Linked DNA regions of Oreochromis niloticus. The protein of the gene in region 1 interacts with the protein of each later gene in a pairwise test. Links are inferred from orthologs where the notes say so. Each region holds a gene or a part of one and is shown in the gene's direction. Other genes may lie near its edges.

Region 1 (3,922 bases):
TACACAGTATCCAAATGTCCCAGGAAATCAATAATGGCCTGCCATCTTTTAAATAAAATAACGTCTGATTTAAAATAATCCGTACATGATTTAGTGCCCTGCATAAACTGATTGATTTGTTAGGAAAGGCAGGAAGTGAGGTTTTCCACCTCATGATGTACCTTAGTGGTTGGAAATAAATGTGCAGTTAAGTGTATATGAGCTGCAGCAAGACACTTGCACATGGACTTGACCCTGCACATTTCTGCAGTGCTGTTATTTTCCCCCTCTCTCTTATCTTTCTTTCCTGCACTTCCTGGAGTTTATGGCTTTGTGTTCTTACTGGTTTATTTTCAATATTCAGTTCTAAAATATTATAATATTGTTTAATATTTTAAATGTTTCTTTTCTGAGGTTTTACCTTTAAGTGCATGAACTTTTTAACCCCTAACTTACATGACATTTTTTTTAATATTCACCTGACTCCTGTGAAAAGTATCATGGGGTTTGAGATGGACAGTACATAAAACTGAGTGGATGCACTTAAAGTGAAAGATGATATAAAGCTGTTGGAAATCAATCTTTACTGTCTGACTTCAATTTACAAAATTACCAGAAAATATGCTACCTTTATGTAATCTATACATTAACTTTTTAACCCCTAACTCACATGACAGGTTTTTTAAAAAATATATTTAAAAGCTTTATATGCAATTAACTGCACATAATTCTTACAAAAAAAATATTTCACAAGAAAAAAAGTTACAGCCACTTTGGATGTGCACATAAAAAGACCAAACATCCTTCCTCACAGATGGAGTCTGCTAAAGTGATTCATATTGGCGTGTATTCTGGGGAAATATGACAAAAATTACCAAAAATAACGTGCGAATTAAAAGTTGTTTTTTAAGCGTTTGAGGGTTTAAAAAAATTGTTTTAGTATTTGCACGAAAATGAAAGCAAAAGTTAAAAAAAAAAAAAACATTACTCAACTCTTGATCGCCATAGGTGAAGTGAGCTTTGCATTAATGTTGGCTAAAAGGGATTTAAAAACATTTTTTTTAAACAGACGATTTTCTTTACAACTTATGATCCAGCATAAACGTATTTACTTTGGGCAATGAAATCATTTAACAGACGTGAAACATGCGAGCAGTGGCCGGAGCCCAGTTATCTGCTCTTCAAAGGCTCCCACTGTCCCCTAGCTCCTCCCTCTCTGTACCGTGTGACAACAACAACTCATCCACAGAGCGGAGCTGCACTTTTCAGCTCATTTTCCTCCTGTCATTCCTCCTCCTATCTTTGATCATTGTCCCGCCGCTCGCCCCCCTCCCCAAAAGAAAAAACCCTCACTCAGCACGCCTTTTTTTCGGTAGCTCTTTTTACTTTCCAACTTATCTGAGGAGCTAAACTCTCGTGGATTCTTTCATTTAGGGGTATCTCGGCAGGCTGGGTTTTCTACTTTGAACTTCGGCTACTCTCTTCCCCTCTTGTAGGTGACCATGGCCGTACCGGCTGCTCTGATCCCACCAAACCCTCTGGTCCCACCGCCTCCAATCTCGACTCCTTCCGCGACGACGTCCCCGCCGTCGACAACTTCATCACCATCTCCATCCCTGGCCCCCCCATCGGGACCCGGACAGAACCTGTTCAGATCAGAGCTCCTCGCAACCAGCAGCCCGGGCATCCCGACCCCAACCGCGGCTCTCCCCCCGAGCAAACCCGTGTACTCGACCCCGTCGCCTGTTGAAAACATACCGCAAAACAACGAGTGCAAGATGGTCGAGTTGCGCGGTGCCAAAGTCGCCTCTTTCACCGTGGACGGCTGCGAGCTCATCTGCCTTCCTCAGGCTTTCGACCTGTTCCTGAAGCACCTGGTCGGCGGACTGCATACGGTCTACACCAAGCTGAAGCGGCTCGAGATCACGCCGGTTGTGTGCAATGTGGAGCAGGTCCGCATCCTCAGAGGGCTCGGCGCCATCCAGCCCGGCGTGAACCGCTGTAAACTCATCTCCAGAAAAGACTTCGAGACCCTTTACAACGACTGCACCAATGCGAGGTTAGTGGCGAGCTCTGCTGTGCATTTTTCTTTTTCTTTTTTGGGGGTTTAAATGTCCGCACACACGGCCGTGCGTAAAGGCGCAGGAGCTAGAAAGGGGGAGACATTTTGCCTTTGCAAAACAAGCGGTCAGAAACGTACAATTGTCTTGGCCGAATTTAATAATTGATTCTTATAAGGAGTGTGTGAAAATGCGCGCGTGTGTGTGTCAAACTCCATCCCAAACACCGAGGCTGGTGTGTTTGGGCAGGAAGAGACCGGCGCGCTTCACCAGTGGTAAAGAGAGAGGGGGAAAAAAAAGTTAAGTGAAAGTTTTTTTAACACGTGCAAGGCAAAGCTGTGCCGTGATGGATAGCCTGTCTCCCTCTGAACAAATGAATCGATAATGTAGGCTACACCCTGGTTGAGTTTCACACTGCTGTTGAATAAACTTTAGGTATACAGCTGCCACCACAAAGATACAACCACAAATAAGAGCCTCTCATCTTTGCTTTCCTTTTTTTTTTAAAACTCCAATTTCTGTTTAATTTTAGACAGCTTTTAGCTCAATTTTATTTTTTTAATGACTGAAATAAAACTAGGCTATGCCTCATTATATGTCCTTGCCACAGGGGGTAGCATGATTTCAATTAGAACTTGAGTTTTCAGACAGTAAACAAGAAGGAACCAGAGTATTAGAAAAATAAAAGGGCCAGCTTTTTTCTTGTATGATTTTTTTTCACCCCCCTTTAGTATTGATGACATTTCTCAGGGAGGTTACAGTGCACTAATGGAGGAGCCTTCTTTTCTTTTTGCACACTGTAAGTGCTAAGGATAATTCATGAGAGCACTCAGTTATCTGTCTTAATTAAACATACTTGATTTCACTAAATCAAATGAGGCAAAGGACTATGAGTGTTTAAATAAATACATTAAACCATTTTGACCCAGTCAGTTATTTTTGGAGTTTTTTAAAAAATATCTTAAAATCAGAGTGATTTAAAGCAGAGATCAATATTTGATTAAAAGCCTTTTTAAAAAAAATTATTATTGTCCTGTTGCTCCTAGCTTTGATGTATCGCTCAGTCTCACAGGATGGTTCAGCCTGGTCAAATTTACCATCTTACCTGTCAGTATGATTGATTCCATATTGATCTCCTGGCTCTAGAAATGAGCTGGAAATGCAAATATGATGGAAAGGCTCACATCAGTTGGGATGGTGAGAGGGGAGGAAGGGTAGCAATAAACACTTTTGAGTCTCAGTTTTTGCAGCATGCATCCTTTTTTTTTTTTTCTTTTTTTTGTCCCCTCCAGAAAAAAAAAAACAACCGTGTGAGGTCGAACTTAATTCAGAGTTCGGATGCAGCGTGCAAATATTCACACAGACGCGTACACAAAAGTTGCTGCGCAAGCATGTTTTTTTTTTTTCTTCTTCTTCTTTATTGCCAGTTTGTGTCATTAAGAAATCCACGTGTGATAACATTTAGCATATTTGAAGCCTCAAAGTGTTGCTGTAACTAAAAAGGTACATGTGGAAAAAAACAGCAAACAAACAAACGAAAGAAGAAAAACAACAAATCAAATAGCACGCGCAGCACTGTGAGGAAGTCTGAGAGTGATGTTATTACAGTGACGAGGCTGCTTGTCGTGCACTTCAGATGTTTAAATTTATGTTACAGCATTGTGTTGCAGTCTATGCTTTCAGTAAACACCCCCCTTTTATTCTCGCGTATGAATATGCTGCAGTCTTATATTTCCATCCCACTTGCAGTCGTCTCAAAAGAATCACCTGTGCACTTTGGTGCTTAAGCATCATTTACATAAAGCATCAAGAGAGCACAGCCCCCCCCCCCCCCAAACACACACACACACACACACACACACACACACACACACACACACCAT
Region 2 (3,922 bases), on another chromosome or scaffold:
CAAACAATTGTAACTTTGGATTATAACGTTATTTCGTTTAAGAGGAAGCACGGAGTTTCTGTTGAGTTTACTTGTACTGTATGTTTGAACTATATACAAGTTACTGTCATGCAGTATTTCTTTGTTGAGCTTTTCTCATTCAAAAGCACTGGTATGTTTATTGTTCTCTGGTAGCCTTGAATTTTTTGTTTTGGGAGGGGTTTTGTTGTTTTGTTTTTTTGTACTTAAAAGTGTGAATGCTGGTGCAACAAATCACCTTTTTGGGTGCTGCTGTTGTTGCCACGTCACCAAAAAGAAGCAAAAATTTAAAGAAATAAAATGACTTATAGCTGACTAAAGTGATTTTTTTTTTTCTTGAACACAGTAGTTATTGCATATCCTACATCCAGTTTTCAGAAAGAAAATAAGGCTTATTTTAATGTGGTTTGCAAACACTCTACAAACATCCTGCAACCTTGCACAATACACTGCTCCAAAAAATTAAACACTTTTTAAGCAGAATATAACCTCAAGCCATTTAAACTTCTTGAATATTGATGTGGTCAGTTAAGTAGGACAGGGCTGCTAGTTTTACATTTGACCTACCCTGTAGAAGTGGCGGAAGTAGTCCAACTCCACCAGGATGGCACATCAGTTGTCACTGCCAGGTCTGCTGTATATCCTAGAACAGAAGGCCATTCTTAACCCATCAATAGGACCGGTATCCGCTCCGTTGAGCAAGGAAGAACAGGATGAGCACTGCCAGAGCCCTACAAAGTGACCTCCAGCAGGCCACTGATATGAATATGTGACCAAACAATCAAAAACATGCTTTGTGAGGAGGGCCTGGCGTCCTCTAGTGGGCCATGCGCTTACTACACCATTACACCACCAGCAGCCTAAAACATTAATACGAGGCAGGATGGATCCATGCTTTCATATTTTTTTACACCAAATTTGGATGCTGCCATGCACAGCAAAAATTGAAATGTGACTCAGAAATGGAGTGGCACCTGGTGTGGTCTCCTGCTGCTGTAGTGCATCTACTTCAAGATTCAATGCATTGTGCTTTCTGACATGCTCTTCTGCATTTCTTTGTTGTAAAGCCTTTTTTTTTTAAAGGCATTTTTAACAAGGCATTTTCTTACAGAGAACTGCTGTTCATAGGATATTTTTTATTTGTTCAGACCTTTCTCTGTAAACCCAAGACATGACTTTGTAGGAAAATCCCAGCAGATCAACAGTTTCTGAAATACTCGCACTCGGAATATTTTAAATCACCTGTCTTCCCCATTTTGATGCCCAGTTTGAATTTCAGCAGGTCACTAAAAGCACTGCATTTCCATGTGATTGGTTGATTAGATATTAGTATACGCAAGTAAATGAACAGGTGTACCTAATGAAGTGGTGTATGTTTACTAAGATTTGTACAGTCTTACAGAAGTGCAATATTTATTTAAATACCATGAGGTCGCTGCTTGTTAGCATAACAAAATTGCAAGTAAAGATGTCATACACTCACAAGCCTGGAGGTGACGCGCCTTCACCGTAGCCATGACAGAAAGAAGTCAGGGCAGGAGTCATTAGTGCTTTGGCCGCATAAGGTAAGAAACATTGCCTTTTCCATAGTTAATTAGTACTTAGAGGCTTAGGGATCTTATGCAGGGATTCTTAGTTGCGTAGACGAGCTAAAGCGCTGTGTTGCTGCTACAGAAGAAAAGTTAGAGGACGGCCGAGATCCCCAAGAAACCACCGTTTGAGCTAGCACAGCAAGCTAGCCTGGATGGGTTTCCCCTAGTTACTTTGATAGTTACGGAGCTGTCTTCTGCTTTGAAGCTGACTCACGGTTCAGATTTAGCTGCTGTTAAATTAGAATGGAGTTAGGAATACGTCTGACATAGATAAGTAAACTTTTTCTAGCTAGCTTGCTAACTTTTGGGCCACATTGTAGCATGACGTTAGCTACGGTAAGCTGACGTTATGTCACAGGAAACTGTGTACTTTGCTCTCAGGTGATTAGTCATTGTTATATAAAAAGAGTCCCGGGAAAACCACGGTTAACCAAGCTGCAAACTGTGAATGCAGGAAAACGTCATGTTTCTAAGGACAAAATGCAAGTTGCTACTTTCGTTTTTAGCTTTCTGTCAGTATGAACGTGGGCTAGCGGTTTGTTAGGCTTTGTCATGATATTTCTAATAATAAATGTTTGTCACACACTGTTAATGCAGGAATGTAAATGTCTGAGGACAAGGAAGCCCAGGAGGATGAGCTGCTTGCTTTAGCAAGTATCTACGATGAAGAGGAGTTTCACCGGGCAGAGTCTGCACAGGGGGGAGAGATCCAGCTCTGTCTGGAGCTCCCACCAGATTTCAAAGTGGTAGTCAAAGGTACAGCTGTCCGGTAGGCTTTGCACAGAAAGAAAAGTAAGCTGTGGGGGGAAAAAATCTGACAGGTTTCATAATAATAAAGCACTTTTCAGGATGCGTTGGTGGAGATGGGCTAACCCTAACCCTCTGTACCTTAATATAATTTTATTAAGATGGTCCAGATTCCTGAAAGAAATGGCAATGGTGATAAACATGATGAAAGCTTAAGTTAGGTTTAAAAAAGTTACTTAAAAGTTTAAATTATTAGTTTGTTTTATTCAAAGATGAGAGATGGCTTTTTCAAACTGCATGTGGCCATTTAAGATTTCTACATTGATATTTTCATCTTTTCATTTGCGTCCCACAGCATTACTCTCTCCTCCCTCCATCCATCTCATCCCCCCCTCCTCACCTCAAGCCTCATCTGTACTGAAGTCTGGACTTTAACATAAGAAAACTTGCATAAACATACTTATTTATTACTGATATTATCACAGTTAGCGTCAGCAAGTTAGACATGCAATCCTCCCCGGTCTCCATGCAGCTGACAACAAGCTCGCTAAACAACAACATGTTGGACTCAAGTGTCCTAAAAATCCAATTTTCCCTATATAAATATTTGATAACCTTTTCATATCGTATGCGAGTTTGGCCATCCACAGCTAATATGGGGTGCAGAGGGTTAATTCAGTTATTCTCTCCTAATCATGCAGTAATAAAAAATGTAATGAAGTCTCTTCTGTCTATCACAGGAGAGAATAAAACTGAATATAATGTCTCCTTCCTACCTCCTTTGGTGGTCAACTTTGAGATTCCTGCAGACTATCCCTCTACATCCCCACCACTCTTCACTCTCAGCTGTAAATGGATGACCAGAGCACAGGTACGGACTCATAACAACTCAGATAATCCTTTATTATGCCACAAGAAATACTGGACATGTTGGGATATTCATGTTGTGAGTCAACAGTACATCGTAAATATCAAAACCTTTCTCAATGTCACCTCAGATGAGCTCTCTATGCCGACGACTGGATGAGCTGTGGGAGGAGAATCAGGGCTGTGTGATTCTTTTCACATGGATCCAGTTCCTCAAAGAAGAGGCTCTGGGCTTTCTGGGTATCCAGTCGCCTCTTGAAATCATAAGGGGAGGAAGTAAAGCAGGTAATGAGTGAAGAAAACCCGACCGTGCAGTGAAAGTTAGAGCATAGATACCGCACACCACACACTATGCACATTGGGAAAAACTGACTCAAAACATTAGATTTGTTAATGTTATTTAACCTCGCCATGTCTTCTTAGTCGTTAGCTGAAATGATCCACATTCCACTATAGCATAACATGCACACTGTCAGTGCTTTAGCTGCACTAAGCCTAAAATGAACATTTTGGGTGCTTCTCAGTAGCAGAATACTTGGTGCACACATAGTCATCCTGGGTGTGAGGATCTCAGTTTTCTCGTTGTTTTGCTGATGGCTCCCTAACATCTGATTGGTGGTATCCACTTTTTTCCCCTGAAAGTTGAACTGGAAAGATGGAAGGTTGAAAGCTATTAATTGTTTCCCTGTCATGTGCAT

What was found.
Region 2: the proteins of dachd (region 1) and rnf14 interact in binary tests that used the Homo sapiens proteins (3 or more experiments, as listed by UniProt). The two-hybrid records come from large-scale screens. The link is inferred for Oreochromis niloticus from reciprocal best matches to the Homo sapiens genes DACH1 and RNF14.

The regions. Positions count from the first base shown.
Region 1 is NC_031987.2:22,932,629-22,936,550, forward strand, and holds the start of dachd (dachshund d), read left to right. Parts: upstream 1-1,221; 5' UTR 1,222-1,481; coding exon 1,482-2,038; intron 2,039-3,922. UniProt on the Homo sapiens protein: Transcription factor that is involved in regulation of organogenesis. Seems to be a regulator of SIX1, SIX6 and probably SIX5.
Region 2 is NC_031975.2:20,394,188-20,398,109, reverse strand, and holds the start of rnf14 (E3 ubiquitin-protein ligase RNF14), read left to right. Parts: upstream 1-1,426; 5' UTR 1,427-1,583; exon of another isoform or gene 1,584-2,200; intron 2,201-2,207; 5' UTR 2,208-2,215; coding exon 2,216-2,366; intron 2,367-3,097; coding exon 3,098-3,228; intron 3,229-3,355; coding exon 3,356-3,509; intron 3,510-3,922. UniProt on the Homo sapiens protein: E3 ubiquitin-protein ligase that plays a key role in the RNF14-RNF25 translation quality control pathway, a pathway that takes place when a ribosome has stalled during translation, and which promotes ubiquitination and degradation of translation factors on stalled ribosomes.